Linked DNA regions of Bombyx mori. The protein of the gene in region 1 purifies or fractionates together with the protein of each later gene. This does not show direct contact. Links are inferred from orthologs where the notes say so. Each region holds a gene or a part of one and is shown in the gene's direction. Other genes may lie near its edges.

The links.
Region 2: the proteins of regulator of nonsense transcripts 1 (region 1) and ALY purify together in Homo sapiens (co-immunoprecipitation; 3 studies listed by BioGRID and IntAct, with this or other methods). This does not show direct contact. The link is inferred for Bombyx mori from reciprocal best matches to the Homo sapiens genes UPF1 and ALYREF.
Region 3: the proteins of regulator of nonsense transcripts 1 (region 1) and exosome complex component RRP4 purify together in Homo sapiens (affinity purification with western blotting; 3 studies listed by BioGRID and IntAct, with this or other methods). This does not show direct contact. The link is inferred for Bombyx mori from reciprocal best matches to the Homo sapiens genes UPF1 and EXOSC2.
Region 4: the proteins of regulator of nonsense transcripts 1 (region 1) and RNA helicase Mov10l1 purify together in Homo sapiens (affinity purification with mass spectrometry; 3 studies listed by BioGRID and IntAct, with this or other methods). This does not show direct contact. The link is inferred for Bombyx mori from reciprocal best matches to the Homo sapiens genes UPF1 and MOV10.
Region 5: the proteins of regulator of nonsense transcripts 1 (region 1) and interleukin enhancer binding factor purify together in Homo sapiens (affinity purification with mass spectrometry; 3 studies listed by BioGRID and IntAct, counting the BioPlex papers as one, with this or other methods). This does not show direct contact. The link is inferred for Bombyx mori from reciprocal best matches to the Homo sapiens genes UPF1 and ILF2.
Region 6: the proteins of regulator of nonsense transcripts 1 (region 1) and protein CASC3 purify together in Homo sapiens (co-immunoprecipitation; 5 studies listed by BioGRID and IntAct, with this or other methods). This does not show direct contact. The link is inferred for Bombyx mori from reciprocal best matches to the Homo sapiens genes UPF1 and CASC3.
Region 7: the proteins of regulator of nonsense transcripts 1 (region 1) and Y14 purify together in Homo sapiens (co-immunoprecipitation; 7 studies listed by BioGRID and IntAct, with this or other methods). This does not show direct contact. The link is inferred for Bombyx mori from reciprocal best matches to the Homo sapiens genes UPF1 and RBM8A.

Annotation. Positions count from the first base shown.
Region 1 is NC_085127.1:8,613,572-8,618,418, forward strand, and holds the start of regulator of nonsense transcripts 1, read left to right. Parts: upstream 1-1,608; 5' UTR 1,609-1,910; coding exon 1,911-2,090; intron 2,091-2,168; coding exon 2,169-2,356; intron 2,357-3,110; coding exon 3,111-3,311; intron 3,312-3,634; coding exon 3,635-3,705; intron 3,706-4,273; coding exon 4,274-4,341; intron 4,342-4,847. UniProt on the Homo sapiens protein: RNA-dependent helicase required for nonsense-mediated decay (NMD) of aberrant mRNAs containing premature stop codons and modulates the expression level of normal mRNAs.
Region 2 is NC_085114.1:10,511,691-10,516,624, reverse strand, and holds ALY, read left to right. Parts: upstream 1-1,652; 5' UTR 1,653-1,709; coding exon 1,710-1,913; intron 1,914-2,563; coding exon 2,564-2,780; intron 2,781-2,858; coding exon 2,859-3,053; intron 3,054-3,685; coding exon 3,686-3,834; 3' UTR 3,835-3,938; downstream 3,939-4,934. Other genes in the region: replication factor C (activator 1) 5, read right to left, coding at 92-219, 561-625, 714-748; uncharacterized protein LOC105842439, read right to left, coding at 4,857-4,934. UniProt on the Homo sapiens protein: Functions as an mRNA export adapter; component of the transcription/export (TREX) complex which is thought to couple mRNA transcription, processing and nuclear export, and specifically associates with spliced mRNA and not with unspliced pre-mRNA.
Region 3 is NC_085121.1:5,598,766-5,603,319, forward strand, and holds exosome complex component RRP4, read left to right. Parts: upstream 1-1,592; 5' UTR 1,593-1,728; coding exon 1,729-1,853; intron 1,854-1,926; coding exon 1,927-2,164; intron 2,165-2,245; coding exon 2,246-2,380; intron 2,381-2,974; coding exon 2,975-3,160; intron 3,161-3,364; coding exon 3,365-3,580; 3' UTR 3,581-3,581; downstream 3,582-4,554. Other genes in the region: mediator of RNA polymerase II transcription subunit 18, read right to left, coding at 346-438. UniProt on the Homo sapiens protein: Non-catalytic component of the RNA exosome complex which has 3'->5' exoribonuclease activity and participates in a multitude of cellular RNA processing and degradation events.
Region 4 is NC_085131.1:8,802,042-8,806,305, forward strand, and holds part of RNA helicase Mov10l1, read left to right. Parts: coding exon 1-19; intron 20-2,310; coding exon 2,311-2,445; intron 2,446-2,757; coding exon 2,758-2,948; intron 2,949-3,824; coding exon 3,825-3,979; intron 3,980-4,264.
Region 5 is NC_085130.1:10,885,170-10,889,905, forward strand, and holds the start of interleukin enhancer binding factor, read left to right. Parts: upstream 1-1,395; 5' UTR 1,396-1,632; coding exon 1,633-1,806; intron 1,807-3,328; coding exon 3,329-3,457; intron 3,458-4,736. UniProt on the Homo sapiens protein: Chromatin-interacting protein that forms a stable heterodimer with interleukin enhancer-binding factor 3/ILF3 and plays a role in several biological processes including transcription, innate immunity or cell growth.
Region 6 is NC_085126.1:2,182,288-2,186,551, reverse strand, and holds part of protein CASC3, read left to right. Parts: coding exon 1-130; intron 131-753; coding exon 754-987; intron 988-2,238; coding exon 2,239-2,332; intron 2,333-2,799; coding exon 2,800-2,896; intron 2,897-4,259; coding exon 4,260-4,264. UniProt on the Homo sapiens protein: Required for pre-mRNA splicing as component of the spliceosome. Core component of the splicing-dependent multiprotein exon junction complex (EJC) deposited at splice junctions on mRNAs.
Region 7 is NC_085108.1:4,109,118-4,112,071, reverse strand, and holds the end of Y14 (RNA binding motif protein Y14), read left to right. Parts: intron 1-982; coding exon 983-1,087; 3' UTR 1,088-1,861; downstream 1,862-2,954.

The DNA of each region.
Region 1 (4,847 bases):
GTGTGCCCTTATGGTAAAGACGGTATTGCGTAACACGGTGCTCTGACAGCTATCCTGCAGAAGGAGAAATGTATTTTTAAAGGAAATGTGTGAGGAAGAAGGTAAATGTCAGCGGCATGATCTAACACTACGATCGCATGGTCAATATTGGACGTATGCCAATTGTGTAGTGTCAACTTATTACGAAGGAATATTTGTCTCCGATTGAAGATCATCGGGTAGTCGGCCGACGAAAAGCTCGACGCGATCGCAGTCAAATAAAGTAGAAACAAGCAGGTCATTGATTTATTCAGGATAGCTAAAACTTCCTCGCTCAGGATATTATTGGTCGAAGTGGGTGGTCGCGCAGGTGATATTCCTAAAACATACTAGATTACTACATATTCTTAGTATAAAGTCAAGTCATAGCTCCAAGTTTGAAAATTAAATAAGGAATTTCTCGAAAACATCTCGCGAAAAAAAAAAAAAATTTAAAACGATACTAAATATTCTGCATTCGTGGCGCGACATTGATACACAGTTAAAGCGCCATCTATCAAGCTATGAAGTTATCTCCTCGTCCCGTTGTTAAGATGGTTGAATAAATAATTTTGTTAATCTTAATAACAAATTTATAGTACAAATATTTAAATACATCTTTTGATGATCATTCACATGAAGGTCTAGACTAATTCAACACACTACGGTACTTTTGACTTTTGGCGGGAATGTGAGGATATGTAATGTTTGATTTGAATCGTCTACTTGACAAGCAAAGGGAGCATAGCCTATACAGCAAAGCTTTTGACTGAACTAAATCTGTTGTTTAAAAAATGAAATGAAATTGATTACGGAATGGAATTAAATAGGGTAAATGAATCAACCTCAAATTCACCACACACCTCAACACACCACACACCTCATCAACACATCACAACACTTCAAATCTTAGATGAGATTAAATACAGTAGCCTCTCAGTAAAATGGTGGGAATTTATTGTGAATTCACTTGTCTTTTTGAATGAAAATGAAAACTAAAACGATATTGTTTAATTTTCCGACATAGATCCTAAGAAACTCATAAACTAAAAAAATTTAATGAAAAAATACTAAATTTACTATATCAACGGTGCCCAAACTGGTGTACGCCGGATATGAGGTTTCAATTGTGTGATACAACGACTATCCCACTCCGATTCATCATGAATTCCAAACACTTGATTGTTTCATAAGATATCTAGTTTCCATTATTGTAATCTATGTATTGACGAATATTTGGAAATTTTAATTTTTTTACCCGAAAAAATTTTTAAAGGCATTCATTTAATAACGCTGTCATTATGAACACATGAATAACTAGCTAAAATTCTTACTTTTCGCAGCATTTGAACCCAGCTGGCAACGCTCTCGCAACAACAATCTTGCCCGTTAGTCCAGGTCCATTCGCGTCATTTAGATTATTTTGTAGTGAGAAAATCGGTACAGTGAAGAGAAAAAAGTATATTTAAGTTTATCCGGTCATATTTCTCAATTAAGTAGTACTTGTGACCTGGCCTCTATTGCCCAGTGTTGCGTCTTGTGGCAATAGTAAGTGACAGCTTTGAGTTGTAAATATATTTTATCTGTACTTAAATTTTCTCACTTGGAATAGTTTGTTTTTCTGTACTTTAATTGGTTAAAAAACAGACAGCTAAACTGCACTCAAAGATTTGATTGGTACAAAACTTTGAAATTATTAATTGACAAATAGAATAACAGACAATTTATATAAAACTTTATACGGAAACAAACCATGTGTTAACATGTCGAATTTTCGTCACGATTTGTGTGTCGTTTGAATAACTGCGTGACTGCTATGGAAATATCAGCCAATAGTCGTTCTATATATTTTCTTTTGGATTAATTTTGTTTGTTTAAATTCGTCATTAAAAATGAGTGTTGAAGCATTCGACCCAAGCTCGCAATCGCTCACGTTTCTGGAAACAGAGGAAGGGGACTTTATTGGAGCAGACACTCAAGGCTCTGAGTTTGAGTTCACGGATTTTACATTACCCTCTCAGAGCCAGACACAGGCTTCACAACATGACCATGGGTTGTCTTCATCCAACCAGGTATGTAGAACACCACCGAAGACACATCACTTCAACTCACAGAAAGATCAGTAACTATTGACATTTATCACGTTGTAGGTTAACGGAATAGGACGTATAGAATTGTCGTCTAAAATCTCTAACGTGACTAATACGATACCGGAGCTGCAATTCGAAGAGGAAGATGAGGCTTTGTACAGCAACAAGGAACTTCCAGATCATGCTTGTAAATACTGTGGCATACACGACCCGGCCACAGTCGTTATGTGTAACATATGCAACAAGTGGTAAGTAGTATCATAATCCCAAAAATGTAGTATTTATAGACGTTTTTTTACAATATACATGAAACTGACCTCTGCTTCCTAACTATTTTAAGTATTGGTTTATTTTATCAACATGGGTTGTTACATCTTTCATGATTATCTGTCTAATGAAATTAGAATGTTAGGAAAGTAATAGCAACTCAAATAGAACTGTGGCCTCTCAAAACAGGCATGTCTTTTGTGTCTCTCAAAACAGACATGGTTCTGTTATCCATGGGCCCTGGAAACAACTTAAAATTAGTTAGATCTTTGTAACTTTACACAGTTATTGGAATGTAGATTGCAGATTAATAAGTTGCCTTTGTTACAATGAATTTGCTTTAGATTCTGTTCCTACATCTTCTTTGAGCATGCCCTACATTGGTAATTATCAACTGAGTAGAGGAATAAATCAGGGGAAAAATTTACTGGATTCAAGTAGTAATGTTATAACTCATTGAAAATGACCTACTTGAATTACAAAATTTAGATATTGAAGTATATAATACAGCTATGCTACATCATAGATCGGATACACTTTAGAGATAGATAAAACAAAACACTTGCATACTACTGAGCAATTGGAAATATAAAGATTATAAAGAATTAGTACTTTATGACTTAAAAATTAAGAAAATTTTAATAAAATTAAATGTCTGAAAGAAATTGCAGTGAAGATTATGTTATACACAATTTATTGAATATACTCTGATTCCTTAAGAATAATATTTTCCAGGTTCTGTAATGGCCGCGGTAACACTTCAGGCTCTCATATCATCAACCATTTAGTACGTGCAAAGCACAAGGAAGCTGCATTGCACCGTGACGGGCCACTTGGCGAAACCCTTCTGGAATGTTACTCATGTGGTGCTCGGAATGTATTCGTACTCGGCTTTATACCAGCTAAAGCTGATTCTGTTGTTGTGCTACTTTGCCGGTATGATATTTTTTTTAAACTTAATAATCACTCATTAATATGTAATATGCTATTATCTCAGTCATAAAATCTGTGACTCACTCCAACATAAACGATTGCTCTCACTCTGTGAAACACTGCGCCACATGGTGTCGCATCGCGAGAGCATCGGTATTGCAGGATCCGACTGATCCACTGACCACGACCACTCTGTCAAGAGTGTACAAATAAGAAGAATTATCTCAGTGCTCAGAGAAAAAAAAACTATAAAACAATTGAAACCAAGATAAATTAGATAATTATCGACTGCCCGCTACATTTAATATCAAGAATTGAATTTTCAGACAACCTTGTGCAGCTCAAAGCTCTTTGAAGGATATGAACTGGGATCAGGAACAGTGGAAACCTCTGATATGTATGTTTATATCTTTTAAAACATAAAAAATCAAATGATTTGTAGTACTGATAAGCTTACATTTATTTATGTGTTTATACATAACAAGTTTTATATCTAAACCTGATAAATAGTGATCATGAACATAGCATCCTGAAGTTGACCTGGAAAGACTTGTAAATGATGATGTAGATTTATATATAAAATATATTACAGCCCACATGATGTTAGTAGTTACAACAGTATCAATATTGACACTACTTACCTTGAGATATGAAGTCGAAAACTCCATTTCAAAGTCTAAAAATGATCTCAGATAAGAAATTACTCTAACCAGTATTCTTATCCCACAATTCAAGTCATTATGCATTATTGTCATTATACCACATCATCACGAGCTGTCTTTTAATCATACTCTTAAGACTTAACAAATAGATGAATAGAAAGACTTTCAATGTAAAATTTCTTTATGTAACTTCATCTTGACCAATTTTAAAACCTATTAAGAACATAAAATGTTTTAGTATATGACATAAAAATAGATAGATAGCTTTTAAATATTAACCGACAATATTCATTATAATTACAGCTGATCGTGCCTTCCTGTCTTGGTTGGTGAAAGTGCCATCAGAAACAGAACAAATGCGAGCTAGACAAGTAAATTTTTATATACAAATTAGACATTTATAGAAATATTAATTAATTTACTTATTTATACCTTTTTATAAACAAAACAATACATATAATAATATGATGTATAATAAAATATAGTTTTATACATATAAATAGTATTGGGAGACAAAACAAGAGTTTTAAAACTGTTTTGAAGAAAAAAATTATGTTTAATAGTTTTAAGTAATTGAAATTTTCAGCTGCAGTCTGCCAAAAATTAGCAATAATCTTTCTATTAATAATGTGCAATCTTTTCTGTTTGCACATGCTCTTTTTTATTTCTGCTCATATGGCTTATCCAGGGCTTATTCCTAATTATTGCATTGACAACATCAAATTCTGTTTTCCAAACTTCTTTTTTTGCAGAAGGAAATATTTTGTATCCCTAATAAGCTATAATATATTTAAAATTTTATTATAAACATTAGCAAATTACAATTTGTTAAGAATCCTATTTTTATTTTAGCCAATAAACCTTTTTTTAAACATAT
Region 2 (4,934 bases), on another chromosome or scaffold:
ACTTAATTACGATATTTATGACCAACTATTTAAAAATGCTAATCAGATTCTTAATTTTGCTGTTAATTAACTGGTCTAAAAATTTACATACCATCGAACTAAATTGCTGTGGAGTGTACATTTGTTTGGCACAGGCTAGAATGGTAGATGTCTTCCCGGTTCCAGGAGGACCGTAGAATAGTAGATGTGGGAGCTGATTCTCTTTCATAAATTGATTTACTGTAATGACAATATTCTAATCTCAGTAAATACATATATTACTGTACTAGGGCTAGTACCTAATCTCACAAAAATAGGGATGTAGTGGTTGGAAGGCTGCTGCCTCAATTAAGATGTAAACAAAGTACTCTAGAAGAACAAAAAGAAAAATCCTTTACTTTATGTTACAATGTACAAAACATACTGGTACGAAGAGGGGGTTTATGCATTAACTGTTATAAGGTATTCGTATTACGGTTAGCAACTTAATATCAACCTGATTCAAGTCCAATTTTTATAGCCTTAAATTTGATAGTCTCTTTAAAATAATGTGATCATTAGTTTCAGAAATTTATACTTACTTGTTTTTATTATATCATCATGAGATACTAAATCATCCAATCTTTTTGGGCGATATTTTTCAACCCTGCGTAAAAACAAAGTGTTAATCGTCGTAGTAAAATATATTGAGTTATGATTTTTTTGTTTAAATCATTGTTAATGATAGTTCATACCATGGCAAATTTTGGCCTGTTTCCCCAACAGTCATATTGTTTTTATAACAGTATTTTTAAATCGCTTCTAGTATGTAAGTACAGATACTTTAATAAAAACGATTTATTTAAATTGTGGATTGGTTTACAAGCTTGAGGAAACTATAAAATTCAAAATTCGAACCATAGATAGTAGTAGCAGTTTTATTCATAGATTATACACTTAATATATTATTGGAAAGGCAAAGGTATCATACCATAAAGCGTAATCTTTTATATATTTTTTATATGTAAAATGATTTATGAAATGAAATGAAGTTGATTAATATGAAACATAACATGAAATGAAATGAAATGAAAATGAAATGGAATGAAATGAAATGAGATGAGATGATATGGGATGAAATATAATCTCAGTAAAATGGTAGTCATTTACTGAGACTTTTTCAGTGGACTTTTTAGAGGATCCCAAAAAGTTATGCTCAGCGGCTTTGTTTCAATTTTCCCACATTTGTGCACTTTCACAGATATTAAACAGGTTATAAACCACCGTTATTACACATTTAAACTTGGAGAAACACTAAATAGACAAAATAAAACAAAACACACAACTTCACTCCTCGCGCCAAAAATCTCGAACCATAAATAATACACTTCTTAATATTTGAATTTTGAGTGCATTAGCATTACGTGATTTGATTACCTAGTTAAAGATTAAAACTAAGCGCTTAATTTTTTAAACAGAAAGATTTGACCAAATCAACTGGTAAATGTAAAATAAAATAAACTAAGACAGATGTGTAAGATAGTCTTTATTGACTATAATTTCTACCAAATTTAAAGCTCAACAATTTTTTTCAATCTACTGTTGAACTAATATTAGCAATCTGGCAATAACGAATCTTTTCTTCGGCCATTTTGTCACCGTCTACTTGGGAAGGAAGAGTTCTAAAAGGATTGTTTTTGTTTTTGACTTAATTTTCATAGAAAAAATATTTAGAATTTCAAATAATCACCATGGTTGATCAAATTGAAATGGCACTGGATGATATTATAAAAGCCAACAAAAAGACAAGGATTGGAGGTGGTGCTGGAAGAAAATTTGATGCAAACAAAAGAACAGGACGTGGAGGCGGTGCTGGATTTCGTAGCAACCGCTCTGGTGGTGTACAACGAGGTAGAAATCGTGGAGGCATAACGAAATCTACCAACTATTCGAGGGTAATTCCAATAATTAGATGATTCTAAAATTACAAATGGCGGGCAAATGTGACGCATCAATGTATCTAATTTGTTCTCAAAAAGTCAAGCAACCATATGGACCATCTTGTTGAAATAGTTTTAGACGAAATTTGACACTTTGATTCAAATCAAGACCCTTATTTTATTCGTATCCGACCTATTTTCAACTTGAAACCATAATCCCAGCAACCATATTGTTATCTCCATCAACGTTTTTGTTTTGCATTGTTTACCTACATCTGCCGGAAAATTCTATGATGGATGCTGATATAAAAGTGTAATGAATTCGAGCAAAACGTTACTTTTGTGGAGATGTCTACAGTGCAGTTTTGACCAATTTATAGAATTGACTTCAGGAGTTGAAAAGTAAATAAATGGACTCCATGGACGGCTGAGACTGGTTGTGCTTCATAACTTATTAGTCTTGTGTCTGTGTGATGAAAGTGATAAAACAGTTCTATATTTTAATTTTCGAAAAAAAACATGTAAACTACATCAAATGTTATTTTATCAAGTGGTTCAGATGTCAATGTATTAATTTTAGTGCCTAAGCTTTGAGTTTTTATTATATTCAAAGGAGGCATAGAGAGTAGCCACATGGCTAGCTCTATGAAGGATGACCTTTTCAGGGTGATGTGAACAGCACTTGGAAACATGATATGTTCAATGATTTTGGTGAGAGGAAACTTCAAAGAAACAGTGGGACCATAACAACTGGTCCTACCAAGCTGCTTGTATCCAATTTGGACTTTGGAGTATCAGATTCAGATATAAAGGAACTATTTTCGGAATTTGGCATCCTCAAAAGTGCATCTGTACATTATGATCGGTCAGGTAGATCTTTAGGTATGTATCACAAAGCATAAAAACTTAGTTTGTTCCATTAAGTATTTCATCATACAAGATATTTTTAAATTTTTTTAGGTACTGCAGATGTTGTGTTTGAAAGAAAAGCAGATGCTGTGAAGGCTATGAAACAGTATAACGGAGTGCCACTTGATGGACGGGCAATGAATATACAATTGGCAACATCTGAAATCAATACTTTAAGGCCCGAGGCTAGAAATCGAATTGGTGGTGCGAGTGTGGGAGGTACTATACGAAACAATCCTAAAAGAGGTAAGATATTTTCCAGGATTTGTTTGTATGGGAGGAGTGATAACAAATTACATCATTGTGATTTGTGACAAATCACCATATACAAGATGGCCTCTTAGTCGAATCAATCTGGAAACACCTAGTTATTGTCGGAAAGATACTTCAATAAGGCCATTGGTCATGATAATCGCCATATTGTTGCTGCCGCTGACTATTTCTACCCACAGCAGAGACTAACTGTTGATGTCCTAGACACATAATTACGGATCCATCAGATCCAATAACTCTTGCATTAGACACCTGCTTTAACACTAACCATACTCATTGAACTCTAAAGAGTTTGATGTGCAACCTAATCCATAGACAGACTACTGATCTGGTAGTAGATTCATTTGCAAAGCAGCTGCCCATGAATTGTGTTAGACCTCTTTCGGAGGTGTTCAACTGTTAGCAAACCCTTCTCTTCTGGCTAAGCATTCGTGGTGTAACTGGAAAGGCCTCCGGCCCTAAATCCTTCATTTAAAAAAACATTATTAAAATTAATTACTTTTTTTAAAACTGATATTTTCCCACTAGTTCTTGTTGTACATTTTCACTTTACTGTTTGCAAGTTACAAATTACTAGAAATCCATTAATTATTTTATTTTTGAAGGAGGTGGAGGAATTAGAAATCAAAGCAATAGTGGAGCACGTGGGGGAAACAGAAGAGGACGTGGTGGTGCAGGCAGAGGCAAACGACCAGTACCTACTGCAGAACAATTAGATGCAGAGCTTGATGCATATGTGAAAGAAATCAAGTGAATAACTAATGAGAATGTGCATAGACACTCAGTTTTATCTTAAAATATGAATGAATAAGCTTTGTGTTCTCAATGTTCTAGATTAATTGTAAAAGTATAGGTTATACTAATAAAAGACTACGAATTATAAAGAAATTATAATTCTAGTACATGTATTAAATTGGATAAATAAACCCAGATTTGAAATTTTCTTGTATAGATTTCTTTTTAGTCTGTAGTTGTGTACACAAGTGTAAACATTTTTAAGGAGGTTATCGTAATTCAACTGTATTACAGTGAATGCATCTGCATTCGGCATCTGCCGATTTGGAAACTGCCTAGATCTTAAGCGTATCACTGCTCCACCTCCAAACATCACTACCTGTGTAGGTTAAAAATTATACGTAGCTACTGGTGATGTTATTCGTTCAATGTGGAAGTCTGTCAAAAACAATGAGAAATACTTTTTCAAAAAATTTTCATGGTCATTACACTCAATTTCAGCACATCAACAGTCATATTTAAAGCTACGGCAACATCAAAGTTCATTTATAAAAGGAGTTGTCGTACCCCCTTACAGGGGCACGGAACGGGCCTCGGGCAAACCCCACTGCTTGGACAGAAGCTCCCTGCCACACAGGTCGGGGGTGATGTGGGTGCAGGGTGAGCTTTATAGGGGAGAGAGCTGTTCGCAACGTGCTCGGCTACAAATGACATCGACATATATACATAATACGATGGGCTTGCGCCGGTTGAAGGAGGACGCCCGGCGCCAGGGTCCCTCCGGCGTCGTATTGTCCTCTGCCTTTTTTTTCCTTGCAAACTAACTACAGGGACAACAGTCAGTAGAACGAGGGGCCCGCCACCGGCCCAATTTAAGGCGCTAACCCGTTCCAGGCTCCCCATAAGGGGGGGAGCGGTCCACCCACGGGGCTGGTGAAATGGGTCCCCATAGGAGGGCAGGGGGGGGACGATGAGTGTGGACAGCTCAGTCCCGGGGGGGCACTCATTATGAGCACTCCCATATCACTCCGGTTAAGCCGACTATCTTGCCATAGCAGGGGGTTCTAGTAGCTCCCTTGACAGCGCCCGACCATCAGGTGGTCTGGCGTGCAAGGGAGC
Region 3 (4,554 bases), on another chromosome or scaffold:
CTAATTATCATAATTTCCAGCTATGAAATACTGTAAAATTGAAAATCATTAAATGAATTATTTTTATTTATTAAGAACAGCATTGTAGGCATTGTAACTAAGACCTTATCTCATGTTTTTTTGGGCTGCTATTATATGTAAGCTATGTATGTATGGGTTCTGATAATATTTTGAATGTAGTATGTAAACAGATCAAATGGGTCAAAAGAATTGGATACAATAGCTGCAACTATGGTAATTAGTTCTGTTAAGTATGCAATTTATGGAAACTGTAGAAGAATGTAGACTATATTGTAATTATTCTGAAATTTAAAATAGCTGAGCCACTTCAACATCCTGTAGTACCTGAAGTAAGTATTCCTGATTTGGTATAATGTTCGCTTTTAAAGCTTGCGATAAGCTATCTGTAGCTGTTATAGGTGCAGCGTTTGCCGACATTTTATGGAGCTGAAAATCTGAAAACCTACTTCAATAGCAGCTATTTAAAGATTTAAGTTTTGAAGAACTATGTGTGAGCCAAGAAATCATTACACTTATAAACGACTTTTCTGTCTCATAGAGGTGCATTCAGTCTAAATAGTCCATATAACCGAAACTATAAATATTGCGTAAAATAAAAAACTAGGCAATTTTAAAGGAGAAAATAAATTCTAATTTCTAATTAACATAATCTAAATACTCATATTGGAATTTAACAAGGTAGAGATATGTTTGCAATCGCTGTTAGCTTGACAGTTACTAACAATGTTGACATTTAGCCTCATTTAGGTGACATTTTGTAATTTCCTTTTTCAAATACAGGAGAGAGAGGCAATGGTATCGCATCATATTATCATATTGGTACGGCCGTATTTGTTTTTAAACATTTTTTGTCACCAATGATTCTACATGCGAGGAGTGAAATTGTGTGATTTGTTTTATTTTGTCTATTTAGTGTGTCTTCAGGTTTAAACCTGTAATAACGGTTGTTTATTAACTGTTCAATATCTATGAAAGTGCACCAATGTGGGAAAATGAAACCAAGCCGCTGGACGTAACTTCTCGGGATCGTCCAAAAAGGCCAAAATCTCAGTAAATAACCGTCATTTTAGTGAGATTGTATTTCATCCCTTATCATCTGTTCAGTTCTCGTTCAATCACATGAATGAACAATGAGTGTGAAGAGTTAATCATTAATTTCAAACTATAAAAGAATATTATTTATATTTTACAATAAAATTGTATTAAAGTGCTCCAATATATGTTACTAGTAGTATGTAACTACAATTACTTTTTTTTATTTTCATTACATACCTATAATTGTTATATTTTATACATCTATAATTTCAACTATATGATGTATTGGAAATAGGACAGTCTTACAAGCTTCCTCGCAATGTTTTTCTTAATGTTTAAAACACTCGGTATTCAGTGCAGGTAGATACTATAGGAACATAATATTTCGTCGAAAACTCATTGGTTGTACAAAGCACGCCTAAAATTCGAACCCCGTACCCGATATCGGCAATTCGGCACACTAACTATTCACTAGACAATCGAGGCAATTTCATTAATTCAGGAGTTTTTTCAATCGTTCACTTTGTCACAACACTATTTTTATTTCATCAAAACCTGACAACACAGTAAACGTCAGTTGACTTCGTCTAATAAAAAATCCGACTATAGGTCTATGAGTTCGTTGTACACAATTCACAATTAGCAAAGAGGGAGCTTAAAAAAACATTAGAAATGGTCAGTCATGTATCTATAAAACTCGCATCTGAAAGAGTAAATCATTCGGTTGCCTCAAATAATGACCCGCCGCGTTTTTACACTCCTGGCGAAGTCATAACTGGGATACAAGATTTTATGAGGTCGGTATTTTTTGCGAAAACAATATTGTTAAGAATTATTATTACTATAAATTTAATAATTTTGCACTTTAAGAGGCCACGGAACTTACGCAGAAGATGATTGCCTAAAAGCATCTGTTGCTGGGGTTATGCAAAAAGTAAATAAACTTATATGCATTCGCCCATTGAAGAGTCGTTACGTTGGAGAAATAGGCGATGTGGTAGTCGGAAGAGTATTGGAAGTTCAACAGAAAAGATGGAAAGTTGATACCAATTCACGACTTGATTCAATACTTCAACTTTCTTCAGTAAATCTACCTGGCGGAGAATTGGTAAATTAACGCACACTTCCATAATATAAAGCAATCTTCTTGTATCTAATGATAACTATTTATATATTTTTTTAAATCCAGAGAAGGCGTTCAGAAGAGGATGAGCAGATGATGAGAAAACATTTACAGGAAGGTGATTTGATAAGCGCTGAAGTACAGAATGTATTTTCTGATGGTTCGCTCTCATTGCATACAAGAAGTTTGAAATATGGCAAGGTAATCAGATTTTATGAAGCCAATAAAAAATGACTATTCTAAAGTTCAACAAGAATGTTATAAGGAAATTAAAAATATTCAAATATGTAGCAACATTAAATTTTGAAATCCTCCAAAGTGAAGATGATATTTATCCTTCTGAGTAGATTAAACATGCTTCATTAGCAAATTGATTACAAGTCTACACAAACACTTAAATCTGCTTTAATTCACTACCTATATGTTTAAATAAATAAAATCAAGGGGCGTAAGGCTATTTGTTTTAAGTGACACTTCGCTTACTACATGGCATCTATCTGTGTAATTAAAGGTAAATTTTATTTGGTATTAGTTTATACAATTAATTGTTTTTAATTGAACACCAATTAAGTATTCTCCATTGAAATAGCTGGAGAAGTTTTGTCATGTTTTTTTTTCAATTTTTAAATTACATGACTTTCCTCTAAACCAAATAGCCCTTCATACCTTAAAATAGAATCATTCATACAGTCCTCTAATAATAATTAATATCACAAAATGTTGAACTTTCTACTCCTTGCTAATACTAAAAAAAAATTAATTTAAGAGTTTGTTCGAAAACTTTATTTTTTGCAGCTTTCACAGGGAACTTTAATAAAAGTATTCCCGTCATTGATAAAGCGCAGAAAAAATCATTTTCACAACTTACCATGTGCAGTATCTGTCATAATAGGGAATAATGGATATATATGGATTAGTCCACACAAAAGTGATATTCTTATGGAAGGAAATAAGGATGCAATTGAAAATTATGAAATTCAGGTGGGTTAATGCTATCAGTGTGCAGTGTTCGGGAATAGGAGTTAAGAAAGATAAACGATAAACACAAGTTAAAGATTTATTATATCATTTTCACTAAACTTTGTGTTTTTCCATGTTTTAAGAAAATAGAACTCATGCATGTTCTCATGCCCTCATGAAATTGTTGCATATGCTAATATGATGCTGATATCATTTTTATTGCAGCCTGTTGGGAAATCAGAAAGAGAAACGATGGCGCGAGTGAAAAATTGTATTTTGGCACTTGTGGCATCTAAGATGATGTTAGATGATACTAGCATAATGTTTGCATTCGAAGAAAGTCTCAAATACGACAATGTAAAGGAACTCTTGGATCCTGAAGCTATGCTTGACGTAGCATTTTTAACTCAGCATAGAATAAATATTATTGCAGAAGAGTGACTTTATTGTGTTTTAATTATAGCTAGAAAATATTAATAATAAAGGAAATACAGCTTTTTCAATACCACAAAGTTTTCTGTAAATTGCAATTCACTATGGATAGGGCGAACTGATCGTTCTATGTAAATCTGTGTACAATTGCGCTTACGTTTTGTATGGATGGTTGAGTTTCGAAATCGTCGTGGCCTAAAGGATAAGACGTTCGGTGCATTCGTATCTAGCGATGCAACGATGTTGGAATCCCGCAGGCGGGTACCAATTTTTGTAATGAAATACGTACTTAACAAATATTCACGATTGACTTCCACGGTGAAGGAATAATATCATGTAATAAAAATGAAACCCGCAAAATTATAATTTGCGTAATTACTGGTGGTAAGACCTCTTGTGAGTCCGCATGGGTAGGTACCACCACCCTGCCTGTTTCTGCCGTGAAGCAGTAATGCGCTCCGGTTTGAAGGGTGGGGCAGTCGTAACCATACTGAGACCTTAGAACTTATATGTTAAGGTAGGTGGCGGCGTTTAAGTTGTAGATGTCTATGGGGTCCAGTAACCACTTAACACCAGGTGGGCTAAGAGCTCGTCTACCCATCTAAGCAATAAAAAAAAAGTTAAATTAATACAGTTCATATAGACATCAAATCAATCGCATCGAAGTTTATAAGGTCTAGTTTATGTAGGAATATGCCAGCATATATACCAGCTTTATGTACAAATGGTTTTAACTAAACTCGATTATACCTGTCTGTTATGCATGCACGCCTAAAACCATCATGCAACACCTAGCGTGTATGACCTCTATAATGGAGTTATGTTCGCGCGCAAACAACCAAGCGGCATAAAATATCAATTTTGATATTTGCTCGGTAGTATGTACATGCACCGATAACTGCACAGTTTAATCACATACACGCTAAGGCTTGCCTGTCGGTTATGCATGCACAGCTAAAGCCATCATGCAAAACCTAGCTGTA
Region 4 (4,264 bases), on another chromosome or scaffold:
GCTCCTTTTATCGAACATGGTAAGCGCCAATATTGTATTGTATCAACACAACTCTGCAAGTAAATGTGTAAATATTTTTTTAAATATATATAGGACTAACTGACCCGGCAGACTTCGTATTGCCTCAATCGATATATAAAAGATCTAAACTTTTGTATAAAATAAACTTAAAACAAACAAAAGGAATCTGTTCGAAGGGGGACACGTCAAAGGAAAAACAAAATTGTTATTTTTATTTAATTCCGAGCATTTTCATATTTATCTACTTTTTAAACCTTCTCTGGACTTCCACAAATAATTCAAGACCAAAATCAGCCAAATCGGTCGAGCCGTTCTCGAGTTTTAGCGAGACTAACGAACAGCAATTCATTATTATATATATATAAGAATAAGATAAGATATAAGATTAATAAGCTTCATATATAGGTAATGTTGTATTGTTATAAAAGAAACTTCAATGTGTTGCTCTGAAAGAACAAAAATCTATTTTATTAGTTTTAATCAAGTTATCTTACGTACCATATTACACTATTATACTATAACACTAACCTGAAAGAACAAAGAAACAACATTTAAAGTTTATTTTATAATCTTGTAGTTATCTATATAAAAAAGAATTTTATTAAAATTTTACGAAATCTATAATCTTAATAGTCATATTGTTTCTCTGTCAAGACCATAGACCTATATAGTAGGGACACGACATATTGTTCTATACGTACAATTGCTTATATAAATAGCACCCATTTTGAAGGCACACACATAAACATATATCTATCTCGTTCTTACTCAGCACTTTAACTCGCAGGAAAACAATATAACAGTGTTTCAGTGCGTACATAAAATGAAACATGAATATACGTAAATATCTCCGTCTCCGTCTAATGAGGCCGAAAATCCGTCATGTTGAGCGCACCAAATGTCATTGTCACGTCAGTTCGGCCGTCTGTTTTGGGTTGTACATTAATTATTGACTTTGATATCGATTTAATATGATTGCTTATATAAATTTCATAATTTATCATGCTTAGAACATACAAAAATAATAATTAAAACGTATTTTATAGGATCTCAAGAAATTCGATGCCCCAAAACTATTATCTATATAAATTTAAATTCATTATGGAGCCCTCATCCGAAAAATCGGACACAATTTTTCGGTCGGAATCTATTGATCATGACACTAATCATAAATACCTCTTTAAAATATGTCATCAAAACATATTTAGACATTCTGTTTAGATATTTCGGGAAAAAGGCTACTGGCAAAATCTATTCGGAACTATTTAAATAAAATAGTTTTATTCCGCAGTGAGTAAAACACTATTGTAAATTCGTTAAATATTTAATAATTAAGTGATTTTAGAGAGGAAGTCACAAGGAATGACGTTTTTAATAATGAATAAATGTTCTGTAGGTGTTTTTTTTTTACGAGGTCCCTTGATAAGTTTAAAATTTGAATCACTCTCAAGTGAAAGTGATTCAAATGGTGCGGCGCACCTTCCTTGGGGTGCGCTGCGGTAGTGTGTTACGGACTTTAGAGTCAGCAAAACAATTAAAATAGATTGTAATAGTCTAAGAAAAACACGTACTCAAAATACGATAACATTTAGCATGCTAGAAATGGGCAGATGGCACTGTACTACGCCATACCTTTATGTTTTGCGACAAACGAAAACTTTATAAAATCAGTGTAGCAACTTTTAAAAATCATCATATCGTTTACTTGGCAAATTCGAAGGACGAACTTGTCTTAGATTTCACCCATTTAAATCATATCATATTTGCACATAACAATATACCTACTTACTTCCCATTAAAGTATAAATTCTACAAATAAATAATACTCAACAATATTTAAAATAAAATGAGCCAAGAACGTTTATCGATAAAACCTGATAACATTGAAATCTTTTGTACAGTACTAAAACCGCCATGTTTTGTGGTCAGATGACGTCACAGTGGCACGAATTTTTGGTTGACGTTTCATTTCCATAGGTTTCCTACTTCAGTGGTCAAGACTGCCTTTTTGACTTTACAACACGCGCATGCGTGACATAACTCAAATTAAAGAAAGAAACAAGACTTTCTTTACATATATTTTACGCCTTTATGAAAACAATTCAAACCAAAACAATTTTTGAAGAATTCGAATATTTAAATGCATCAATAAAACTTGTAAACTTTATATAAGTTAATATCGCTGGGTAACGTGTCGCATATTATGACAGTGTTGCTAGTATTTTGTTCATTATTATACAACTGTCATGGTACGCTTATTTGTGATTAAACAGTTTCGAATTGTTTTAGGGCAACACTACCAGAATGCTTACATGCCTTTTCGAACGGTACAAGTACCAAAGACTTTTGGTCTGTGAGTTTCACAGTTTTCCAGAAATACGCGATCGTCATTACAACGTTATCGCACGCCGCCAAATTCAGCGGGTACGTACGAAAACAAATTTAATAATTAGGTTGTAGGAAAAGACGAAGCGAAGGATGTTTTTGTTTACAATAAAATAATTTTTTCTTACACTATTTTTAATTCAAATGTACTAAAAATTATTTTCAATTTTTTAGTAGAATTTCAATTTACTCAATTTTTAATATTGAATTGTCATCGGTCCTTAATAAGTATACCAAATTTCGAGTTAATCCGACGTTACGAAGGGTGTCAAAATCATGTTCAAAGATTCCGTTACATACTAACATACATACGTCTGAAGCTAATAAAAAATAATTTACTTTTGAAAACAGAAGTTTTAGTAAGAATAGCACGTGCCACATAACGCATCTGTTCATCGACGAAGCGGCCCAGGCTTCCGAGCCTGCCAGTCTCATCCCGATCTGCGGGCTGTTGTCTACCGCTGGTTCCCTGGTACTGGCCGGGGATCCCCTGCAACTGGGACCTGTCATCATTTCACAAAAGGCCAAAGAAATTGGCCTCGGTATGTATTGTATACGCTGTTGAATAACTGTCACCTGTAAGTATTTAAGCTTGTGTATGGTGGCAAAACGGTCGAACTATTACAAAGAAAATTTCTTTAAAAGCTTTCAATATTTGAAAATTGCTATAGATAGATAGATATATTCTTATTTCTCGTTGAGAGAAGTTAGGAATAAAATCGCACGGGGAGGTACCATTGTTTTGCTTATGTCGGCTACGAAGCAATCGTGCGTTTCAGTTTGAAGAGCGCGCAGTTGACTAAATTAATAAATAAATAAAACAATTTTCTGCTAGCAACCAAATGTAACAATACAAGATATAATACTGTCCCTGAAAAAGAAGCGGCAATGGAAATATAAACATTATTCACCGGGAAGTTCTTACTAAGTGAAGCCGCAATCGAAATTAAAGCTAGTTGGAGGATGCGGTCATTGACTTCGACTTACTACCGATCTTTTTAAAGTTTTACTTTCGATACTGCCTTATTTTTACACAAAAACGGTTCTGGGTATACTTGAGATCTTAGAACTTATATCTCAAGGTGGGTTGCGCATTTACGTTGTAAATGTCTGAGCTCCAGTAACCGCTTAACAGCAGGTGGGCTGTGAGCTCGTACATCATCTAAGCAATAAAAAAAAATTAAAAAATCTTACATCCGAACGAAACAGAATAAAAGAAGGTACACATTCATAATATCAAACAACCATCATGACTCAAAATATCGACAAGAAAACATTACAGGAATCGACTGAACGCAACGTCACGAGTTGTGACGTCATTTAGAACAAAAACGTTCGCCAAGTTCAAGTTATTCTCGCAGATTGTGATGAATGTTCAACTGCCTCTTTTAAACGTATAATAAAACGTTTTATTGCAGGTCTATCGCTCATGGAACGTTTGATGAAAACGTTTCCTCAGTACAACGACGTGAAGAACGACTGCAACTATATAATGCTGCTGCGCAATAACTTCAGATCTGATCCGGACATACTGCACATCCCTAACGAGTTGTTCTACAAGGGACAGCTCAGAGTGAGTTTATAGATACGTTTTTTTTTTTAATTTGCACATAACAAATTATAATCATTACAGTACATATGAGGCCTATAAAATCAAAGGCAGCTAAACGCCATAATGTCGTAAAATGGATTAACAATGGCGCTATCTTTTTTAGTTAGTTGGACACCCTTTAGTGTTTTTATGTTATAACAAATGCGGCTAAATCTCTAACAAATTCAGTTCAACAATTTTATTTTTACTCAGTACTGAGTACTAATAAACGAAGTTTTATCATTTAAAATTCAGATTATTAGGAAT
Region 5 (4,736 bases), on another chromosome or scaffold:
TCTCCAGTTTGTGGAATATCCTTCCATATGTCAGATTCATTGATAAATTTTTACTAGTGTGAGCATATATTTTTAAAATGTGAGATATTTTTTCTCATTATAATATTTAATACCATTTGTCTTGTAAATTGTACTTAATCTATGTCATATACTAAATTTGAAAAAACAATCGTGAAAACTATAATTTTGCAATGTATTTTTTATATTATAAGAGCCATCACGTAGTATTTTTTGAACTTTTTTTATTGTATTGAATAGCGTCGCACGCAAGCATGTATATCATTTGCCTGACGTTAAGCCAACGAGGAGGATCTTCTAGTAAATATGACGTTGGAATTTCTGGAAAATGTTCTATATAAAGGTCAAACAAGAAGAATCAAGTACTCAAACGCAAGAAATAAAAAATACCCCGAGAAAAGCAAAATTACGACAAGATGTTAAGGTATTGAAACAAAAACTTAAAAGCCGCGAAATAGTGATTGTAAATATAAAGTCGATTTTAGATTTATTAAAGAAAAATGGCGATTTTTAATTGAATTGAAATTTAAATTGCGAAATTTTAATGATACTCATGGTCCACTTAGATATTGATTAAAATAAATTATGTATTTCGTTGAAAAAAAAGAATTTACTTAAAATAGAGGAAATGTTATATTATAAGACTACAGAAAATTAACTGAACTTAATAATAATAATATAACCAATATTTTGTAAATAGACATCAAGTACTATGTGTATTGTGTTATGTGTATTGACTTGTCATTTAAGAGTTATTTAATTGTCTACATATAACAAATAAATGAATTTCAGTTCATTTCATTTTATTACCCATTGTGTTTTATTTCCTAAAATGTAACTAGTAGACTTAATATACACGTGTCATGAAAATAGCACAGAAGTAAAAATACAAGCAATTTTAAATCAATTGAAGATGTGAATGTAGGAAAAGAGCACCCGATACGCGCAGACCATGTGTGTTGCAATGTCTCACTTAGTGTGTCAAATATTAATTTGCACGGCCCACTTAGCCAGTACATTAAAGTAGGAATTGCGTAATTAAGTTCAGTATTCGGACGTTAAACATGAGTTTGAGGAAGTTTAAGTAATAGAACTGAGGTAATGATGTTTGTAATAAAACTCAGTGCTAGATTTTCGACAACGCAGCAACTTCCAAAAAAAACCGTCGAAAAAAAGTCACCATGACGACGAAGCAATGTTTAGAATTGAATTTACATAAATAAAACGTTGCAAGCACGTGTTTTGTATTTACATAGGGTTACACAGAATTACTTAAGGTAAATTCAAAACTGATGCATGTGTATAATTGTGTCCTATAAATACATTTTATATGGTCACCACATTAGACAAGGACACCGCGACCAAAAAGTATTCTCTTTCGAGACCGATTTCTCGGCATTAGACAGCACTCCAGTTGTAGGTACTTATTAACTCCATGGATTTGACCGATTGAGACCGCAGAAAGTGTCCGATTAATACAATTCGAACACTATATAAGCTCGCGCGTAAAAATAATTAAAGAAAAATTTGTGAAAACACAACTTCTATGTCATTAACATTCCAAGTGCAAAACAAAGTGAAAACGTTAACCTAAAATAAATTGTTTTTCCTGAAATGGTGCGCGGCATCGGTCGTGGTGGACGCGGTATCCCCGGCCGGGGCGGGATGGGGCGTCCACCCTTCAACAGACCCCGAGTCTTGATGCTTCGTCCGCCCTTCGACCTTTTATTAGCAGAACCCGCTTTTCCTAGATGCAAACCGGCTCCCGACGACTCCGTGCTCACTCAGGTAACCAGTAACAACATTCCGGGTCGAACCATGTCAGGTCATTCTAGAAAAGTCTACGACATTCTTTCGTTCTTTTGTAATTTGTAACACAAAAAACATTTATTTTGAAACCATTTAAACACCAATACATTGGTTCGTTTCGTAAACGCTGTTGACGTCCATCAACACTTTATTATACTACATAGACCGGCTTACCAAGTTAAGGCGGAGCTGATCTTAAGTGGCTACTGAAGCTCATAGACATTGTAATGAAAATGTCGCCAATCATGAGACGCGTCAACAGCGTTGCCAACTCGAAATTCGTCAAGGTAGGAGATAGGGTTCTACAAGTTTGTAGTTTCCAACAAACCCTACTATACCAAGGTGGTAGATCTACCAACTTTTCAAGTCTTTTAGAGACCCTCCAATAAGAATCTGGCATCCTTAATTTACTTTTCGATTGGATAAGAAGACATATTTGAACTATTTTTATTAGAAATCCAATGATAAAACAGAATTACAGGCCGCTAATATTCTTCTTTTTCCTATAGTTGAGAATATTTTTGATTGTAATGCATATTTTTGAATTTTCGAGTAGGAGAATTTTCTTCGTTTTTACTTTCACTTTCACTCATTTTGATAGTGTTCAATTGAAACGTTATAAAAATTACAATCAGTTATTTGTTAATTGAATCGCGTTAGATATAGAGTATAAACACAGATATTTAGAAATCGTATGTAGAAAGAGTTTTAAGATCTAACACCGCCATGATGTTTGTTTTTTTTATTTTTATTAAGCCACCATGATATGACCTGTACATCAACCTGTAATGCCCTCTATTTTCGAGTAAATTCGATGAATCCCTCAAAGGGTAAAAAAGCAATAGAAAGATTACGAAAAATAAAAAAAAAATATATAGTTTCAATATTATTTTCATGGAGGTTTGATTTGAACTTTTTGATAACTTCAAAAGTTGGTAGATTAAGTGGTAGGTTTGATTACGACACTAAAAGTTGGTAGAGTTGGCAACGCTGTGCGTCAGTCCACATCCTGTGGATCCCTGATCCATATATAGGTATAATACATTTGTAAGCATAAGTGTATTTTAATTTGGCCCTTCGTTATTGGAAAAGGTTTTCGCGGGTAATGTGGATTGTTAATAAAGTAGCACTGACAACAAAGGAAAAATATGGCATTAGTTATTAGTGAAATTGATTTCTATTTAAAATTATGGAGCTATACGTAATGAATGAAATAAACTTTAAATGTCTTATCTTTGTTGTGTAACACACAAACACATTTGAGCAATATTAAAAATAGTAAAAAAAGGGAAAAAAATAGAGCATATCCATATTATTTCTTTTAATTAAAAATTGAATAAGTAAGTACCCTCACCAATGCACTACATTAATATTTATTTACCATATCAATACCAAAGCCTTATCTTTCAAAAACTATGACATTAAATTCAAAAAATTGAAAGTAGTGTAACAAGAATAGTTATTTTTTTATCTAATTAATTACACCCTATTTTCATTTCAGGCCCTTCTAAAGAGGCACACGGAGCTATGTCCGTCACCTACCGATCAAGCAGCTGTTTTGAGCCTCGTCACGAAACTGCAGACAGTATTGGACAATATTGTTGTGGCTCCAGGAGAATTTGCAGCCTGCGTATGTTATAGAAATTATTTTACTATACATCACTATACATACTATACATCATAATTCTCTGTTTTCAATGAACTTTAATGTAAATAAGTAACTATTTAGTTTTATTTTTTTCCCCTATTTGCTGATATCCTAAGGGACTATTCCATCTACTGCCGCACGGGTAGGTGAACTCATGGACTCAACACGAGAGTATTTGCTAAGAGCGCTATGATACATGTCCTTCTTCAAACGAGGCTTGCGGAGAGTATTTAATGGTAGGCAGCGGCTTGGCTCTGCCTCTGGCATTGCTGACGTCCATGAGTGACGGTGACCACTTACCGTCAGGTGGGCCGTATGCTCGTCTGCCTAAAAAAGGCTAAAAAAAATTAAAAAAAAAAAACTAGCAAGCAGCCCTAGCAGGAGTACTGCTTTGCTAACTGTACCCTTAGATTGAAATCGCAACCCGCTGAGAAGATCCTCTGAGAAACTCTGTGGGCTGCTATGGACTAGGTTACAGGTCAAACTCTTTGTCGAGTGCGCGGTCCCTAGGCCCGATACTAGTTTTCGAGCTGCAGCCATCTAATAAAGGTTTTAATAGATCAAGTGCAGTAATTTTGATAAAAAATTCTTCAAAGTAATTGCTCTATTGCATATAGTGTAGTATAGGTATAAAGAATAAATACATATTAAGGGATTAAACCATATTTAACTAAATCCACAACAATTATCTTTGTAATTAAAGGTGAATTTTATTTGATATTAGCATCAACAGTTCGATATTTTTAAATGAACTTCAATAAGTTTACTCCACTGAAATAGCTGAAGTAGTTTTTATGTTATGATTTTTTTTTTCAAAACTGTGTACTTCAAATGGCTCCTATTAAGTTACAAAAATGTCTCTTAAACGAAATATCCTTTCACTCTTCAATATATTTTATTACACAAACGAAAACAGGCTAGTTTCACTGGTGATAATAGAACGGTTAAAAAAAAAAAAAACTAATATTTAAAAAAAAAAAAACATTAAAAAAAAAAAGACATGTCCGCTGAGTTTCTTGCTAATTCTTCTCAGGACGGAGGCTAGTTCTTGTGAATTGGCGGTAGTTCTTTTGACGTTCAACAAGTATGTACTTTCATTTATGTTGAATAAAAATTTTTTGATTTGATTTGGTGCCTAATCCTTTCTTTGTCTATGTGAATTGATTGCTCTTAGCGATAAGACTGGACTGTGATTTTGTGTATTATATGTTTCGTTTTTTTGTTATCATTTTATATTATTGTTTGTAGAAATCTTAATTGT
Region 6 (4,264 bases), on another chromosome or scaffold:
GTGGACCCAACAAGTACACACGTACCTGGGAAGACGAGGAGGCGTACCGAAGACAGAACGCGTTGCCGCTGAGAAAACCACCGAACCCCGAGGACTTCCCTGAACTTGAAGCTAGCGCTAAGAAACCAGGGTATGATATTTTAATTAACTATGCCCCTGTATCCCATTTTATGTGGTAAAATTTTTACGTGCGACATTTAAATTAAATGGCAACACTTTGTGGGAAAGAGATAATAGGACTTTTGCGAAGAGTGACGTTGTGTGATTTGTTTTATTTTGTCTATTTGGTGTTTCTTCAGGTTTTAATGTGTAATAACGGTGGTTTATTAGCTGCTTAGTATCTGTGAAAGTGCACAAATGTGGGAAAATAAAACAAAGCCGCTGGACGTAAATTCTCGACATCCTCCCGATCCATTAACGGTGCTTTTAGGCACCACAAGCACCGGTCACCGTCCTCTTCCAACCTGTCGCTTGCGACGAAGGGCTCGACGAGCGAATTAACCCACAGACACAGCTCACTGAGTTTCCGATCCGGTGGTGGACTCTGCGAAGCACTGCTCTTGCTAGGGCCAGTGTTCGCAACACTCCGGTTTGAGCCCTGTGAGCTCACCTACACACGTTAGGGCGAAGCTGACATAGCCTCTCAAGGCTATCAGGTAGGAAAAAAAAATGCAAACTAGCGCTATCCTCGTAGTGCTACTAGCCGCATAATGCGTCGGTACCCTAATGGTTGTGCATTGGTCCGTGTAACAGGAGGAAGGTTCGCGCCCCCCGGCCTCGGTCCAAGTCGCAGCCGGCGGCGGGCGAGTCCCCGGAGCGCGCCGCCCAGCTCCGCCGGAACGCCTCCATCAAAACCGCGAAGCCCAAGCCGCCGTTCACAAAGACGACGCCCCCGAAGAACCTGAAGCCGCAGGACAAGAAATTACCGGCGCTCGAAACTTTGACAATCACCGCTCCGGCGAATAATAACAATAACAACAATAACAGGTGAGGATTCGTTTTGTATTGGGTGCGTTGGATTCGAGCATTATTAGTACTGTTGCCACGGTAATCACTAATCATTTTAAAATTTTGAGATTCTCAGATATTGTCGTAAATATAAGAATATAATACTTGGTGGCAAACACGCGAGATGAGATGTCCTACGTTTTTCTCGCGGTGCACATACTCATAAAAAAAACAATTTAACTGTTTTTTAATTTTAACTAAAATACTACTAATTAAATAAGAACTGTCTGATGAACTCATCTTTGTTTAATACTTCACTATTAAATTTTATTGCCTTTTGTATATTTCACTTTTACACTAAACACAATATTGCAAATTACCTGAGCACAACAATGGCGGAGAATTTTTGGTGTGTGAGAGCAGACGTAGACACTAACGCGCTTGCGCACTTGTCAGTACCCAGGGAGAAAAAGTTAAACTTTCTTCCCTGTACAGAGGGACGACAAGTTACACTTTCTTCTCTGTACAGAGGGACGAAAAGTTACACTTTCTTCCCTGTACAGAGGGATGAAAAGTTACGCTTTCTTCCCTGTACAGAGGGATGAAAAGTTACACTTTCTTCCCTGTACAGAGGGACGAAAAGTTACACTTTCTTCCCTGTACAGAGGGACGAAAAGTTACACTTTCTTCCCTGTACAGAGGGACGAAAAGTTACACTTTCTTCCCTGTACAGAGGGACGAAAAGTTACACTTTCTTCCCTGTACAGCGGGACGAAAAATTACACTTTCTTCCCTGTACAGAGGGACGAAAAGTTACACTTTCTTCCCTGTACAGCGGGACGAAAAGTTACACTTTCTTCCCTGTACAGAGGGACAAAAGTTACACTTTCTTCCCTGTACAGAGGGACGAAAAGTTACACTTTCTTCCCTGTACAGAGGGACGAAAAGTTACACTTTCTTCCCTGTACAGCGGGACGAAAAATTACACTTTCTTCCCTGTACAGAGGGACGAAAAGTTACACTTTCTTCCCTGTACAGCGGGACGAAAAGTTACACTTTCTTCCCTGTACAGAGGGACGAAAAGTTACACTTTCTTCCCTGTACAGCGGGTGGAAAACCGAACTTTCGGTGTCGGTAGGAGAAAAAAACTGTTTGAAGAAAGTGTAACAATTACAACAGTAGAATTTTTTTCTTCTAAGTGCCTGCTGCAAAGGCTATTATTAATCAGTAGTCCCTCGATCTTGCTTGATAAAGCATGATATATTCAGTTGCTTGATTTACAATTTTCAGCCAAGGTCAGTCGCAGCGGAAGGTGAGCGCTATGGTGGCGCAGCAGCGGCCAGTGCCCACGGACATCAACAAGAAGAAGCCGCTTCCCGGCCAGGTATATCGTACAATAATTGTCATCTTTGTCATAAGCATCGCTTCGTTTGCGCTAGGGGCGCTGTTCGAATTAGATACAGATTTGAGTTCGATAGATCGATTTAATCTTATCTTATCTTATCTTATCTTATCTTATCTTATCTTATATATCTATATATATATATAAATGAATTGCAGTTCGTTAGTCTCGCTAAAACTCGAATACGGCTGGACCAATTTGCCTAATTTTGGTCTTAAATTATTTGTGGAAGTCCAAGGAAGGTTTAAAAGGTAGATAAATATGAAAACACTCGGAATTAAATAAAAATAACAATTTTGTTTTTCCTTTGGTGTGTCCCCCGTCGAACGGATTCCTTTTGTTTGTTTTAAGTTTATTTTATACAAAAGTTTAGGTCTTTTATTTCTCGATTGATGCACTACGAAGTCTGCCGGATCAGCTAGTTATCGATAAAAAATGCTTCTCCCCAGAACCAGCAGCCCTCGAGTCCAGCCCCCAACAAGTCGCCGCCCCTGCAAACGAAACCACAGAACCAGACCTCTCACCCTCACCCGCAACAGACCACTGGTAACTATGAAACAAAACGTATAGCTTTCAAATGCCTAACAATTTTCCACAATACATCAATTATGAAAACTAAACATTTAAAATTATTATTAAAAAAAAGAACATAATATTTCTAACCTAAAAGTACATGTTATTATCCGCAACACGCTTCGTCAGATTACAGAAATAGAGTTATCAGCAACATGCTTCGTCAAAAAGTACAATACTTACTTTCAGCTGCAAGCGTCGTCATAAGTAACATATAACATTTAAATATTGAAGACAAGAGTGGATGAAGAGATCAAGTATCATTTTTAAGATTTTTGAGTTTCTAAATTGAATAAAGGTGTTATGTGCATATATTAGACCATATTAGACCTTAAAACTTCAGGCATAAAAGTTTTAGAAATTGCAAGTGACGAAGGAGTTATGTGCGAAGAAAAGTGCAAGCAACAAAAGTTTGTTGCCCGCTTTCTCAAAATTAACAAATTGTATCATATCCCCTTCATCCACTCATGTCTTCAATTATTTTTGATTATTGCTATTTTTTTCGCGGAATAAAATATTTTTAATTTTTTCTGTTTATCTCTAAGCTTGGCAGGAATTGTATGCTTGTGAGCGAGTATTTCAATTGATTAATACGTGAAGCAAAAACTTTGTATCCCTTTTTACGAAAATTGCGCGGACGAAGGAGTATGAAATTTCCCACACTTATAGAGAATATAGAGGAGTGCAGAATGCTGATATTTTTAAAAAAATATGCATTTATAATACATTAAATCAATAAAAAAACATTACACACACTACCATGTATTTAACATACACGCATAATATATAAACGCTTTGTTTATTGTTTATAGTGTAGTTTTGGCGAAACCTGTAATTATAGAAGTATAATAAAATATAGTCTTTGATAATGGAACCATAATAATGTTCAAACTTACTGGTGGTAGGACCTCTTGTGGGTCCGCGCGGGTGGGTACCACCGCCCGGCCCATTTTTGCCGTGAAGCAGTAATGCGTTTCGGTTTGAAGGGTGGAGCAGCCGTTGTAGCTATACTTGAGACCTTAGAACTTATATCTCAAGATCGGTGACGCATTTACGTCATAGTTGTCTATGGGCTCCAGTAACCACTTAATACCAGGTGGGCTGTGAGCTCTTCCACCCATCTAAGCAAAAAAAAAATATCTTCAATTATTTTTCATTTTTGCTATTTTTTTGCGGAATAAAAATAATTTTTTTTGTCTGTTTATCTCTTTAAGTTCGGCCAGAGTTGTATGCTTGTCAGCGAGTATTTTAATTGATAGTACAGCTTCATTAATACTGCCTAGAATGAGCAGAAGACTAGAGAAAGTGTCATTATATTTCTGAACTGTTGGAACAGGCGCC
Region 7 (2,954 bases), on another chromosome or scaffold:
TAGATCGATTTATCGTCCCCGAAATCCCCTGTATACTAAGTTATATGAAAATCGTTGGAGCCGTTTCCGAGATTCAAATTATATACATATATATTAATATACAAGAATTGCTCGTTTAAAGATATCCACTGTATACATCTTAAACTTCGTATGTATCTTTTTTAATTGCTTTGTTTGGATGAAAGAATTCACGGCCCGCTTGATTATAATGGTTACTGTAGTCCATAGACACCAACAATGAAAATACGCCATCTAACAGGTAACATGAGTTGAAACATGACTTCAAGTCGAACCATATTACTGCTTCACAGCAGACCTAGACGGGGCGATAGTACCTACCCATGCGAACTCACAACAAGCCCTATTACTAGTATTTATCCATATTATGATATTTTCAGATATGATTTTATTACACAATGTTATTCATTCGTCCTGGATTACATAAGTTGCAAAGCAATTAATATGAAAATAGTCAAATATTGAAACCAGTTTGCTGAAGTCCATGGGCGACGGTAACCACTCACCATCAGGTGGGCCGTATGCTCGTCTGCCTACAAGGGCAATAAAAAAAAAAAAAAAAAAAAAAAAAAAGTTTTAATTGTTAAAGTTTGTTTTGTTTCATTGCTAAGGATGTCCAATAAGAGGTACAAAATGATTATTGGAACCTATAAATTGTTGTTACTCACGTTTGAAGTCAAAGAAGAAGTCTATTGAGATGAAATGTTCTTAAGAACTTACATAAAAACTATTATGAACTTATTTAAAATTCATAATAATTTTAAAGTAATTTCCTTTTTACACATTAATACAGCTTCTATTTTATAATATTGTACTCCTTTATAATCCCATTACCATTTTATCAATGAGATCAGCATGTGTGGGCTTAGTTTAATTTTGCTCAAAGACTTCGGTCCTTTGCAATGGCTGGCTATGAATTCATAATATAGAAAAGAAACTAATAAAATCAATGTTGTGATCGCAGAGTGCACGTGAAGCATTGGATGGCGCAGATATACTCGGCCAAGCGATATCAGTTGATTGGTGCTTCGTCAAGGGACCCACTAAATCACATAAGAAGAGACGATAAAAATAATTGTAATCTGATTACCATAGTTTGTCTCATTTTAAGTTAAGGAACATTCTTGAGTGCGACAGAGACTGTATGCATTTGAACACTGCTGAGCTAAGTATGGGAATGGGTGTCTTGTTCTTATTTTTCAACATTCATTATCAGGAATATATAAAAAAAATACCAAAATAATTTAGTCAGAGGGTCTGCGATAATGTGTATAAGCTGAGACTTAACTTTCTATGTACAATAAAATACCTACACATAAACCAAACTAGTGTTCAACTATTAGCATAGGTATTCAATGTTCGCAGTGCAAGTTTGGCAGCAGATATAAATAAAAACCTTTGATGTTAAATTTTATATTGGGTATGTTATATTCCTGATCGCACTTTCAAAATGGATTGTCAATGGATAAAAATTATATAATCAGATTCCACTGCACAAAACGAAAGATATTCTTAAATGAAGATGTTAGAGTATTAAAAGGTTTCAAATAGTTATGTAATTCACTTTTTCATTTCTTTTTAATGATTCTAAAGTTCAAAGGAATATTCTTAGAAATTATTAAAAGGAATTTATAGTAAAGAAAACTGAAAATGTTCTTTAATAAGTTACTTTAAACAAAATTGATACAGATACAATATAATCAAATAACATTACAAAAGTTGTAATAATTATTATTGTGTTACATTCGAGTATCAATTAAAAAACGACCAGTTATTTTATGAAGAAAAAAGTGCATTTCTTAACTCATGATTGTAATTTGCTATAAAATAAAATTTAACTCTTAATTACTTGCCTTTTCTTTAATTTTTTTCAGTATGGCAATCGGTTTCTTGTGATGCCATGAGGTTATAAGATTTTAAATTATTATATGCATACAAAGTATGAGCATCCAATAACACAGAATAGATTGGATGAATTCATAAGGTTTGAATTACAATGTATATTTTTTTTACTTAAATAGGTGGACGAGCGCATGGTCCACCTGCTGTTAAGTGGTTACCAGAGCCCATAGACATCTACAACGTAAATGCCGCCACCCACCTTGAGATGAGTTCTAAGGTCTCTCACAACGGCTGCCCTCTCCTTCAAACCGAAACGCATTACTGCTTCACGGCAGAAATAGGTAGGGTGGTGGTACCTACGCGTGCGGACTCACATGACGTCTTATCACCAGTAATATTATCCGCTTACACTAAGTATGGACAAAACAAATATACATATGTTTTGTTTATTGGTTCAAAATGTTCAAATTACACGGCATTTAGACAGCACTGAGTCCTTTTGAGTCGTTGTACAGGGAAGCGTTGATGGTACAAGACCGCGCGGGAGGCCACCAATGCGGTGTACCGACCAAATTAAAACTGCAGTGGGAGGTCCCCTAAATGAGTGCAGTAGAATGGCCTCGAGCAGGGAGAGATGGCGCGACATCGTGAGACGCATCAAGTCTGCCCCTTCCAACACTACATGACGATCACGACCACTCTGTCAAGAGTGACACGACTGAGAAGAAGAAGAAGAAGAGTCCTTTTGGCGGGAATGAAGGAGCGACGTCTTAATTGTTTTGATAATTTTGTGGTTCTTCTGGTTTAAACGTGTAATAATAGTGGCTTATCAACTGTTAAACGGCTATGAAAGTGCACAAGGGTGGAAAAGTGAACGTGGCTTGTCGGGTTCTTCCAAAAACTCTTCTGAAGTCTTTCTTGAACCGTCTTTTTACCGATATTTTATTTCATCCCATCTCTTCTTGTTCACATTATTTTCTTCCAATTGATCAGTCTCAGTTAAATCAACTTCATTTTGCTCCATATCATATTTCATGTAGCAGTATATATGCATAATCTATATTTATTTATTAATGAAAGATTTTCATAAACTC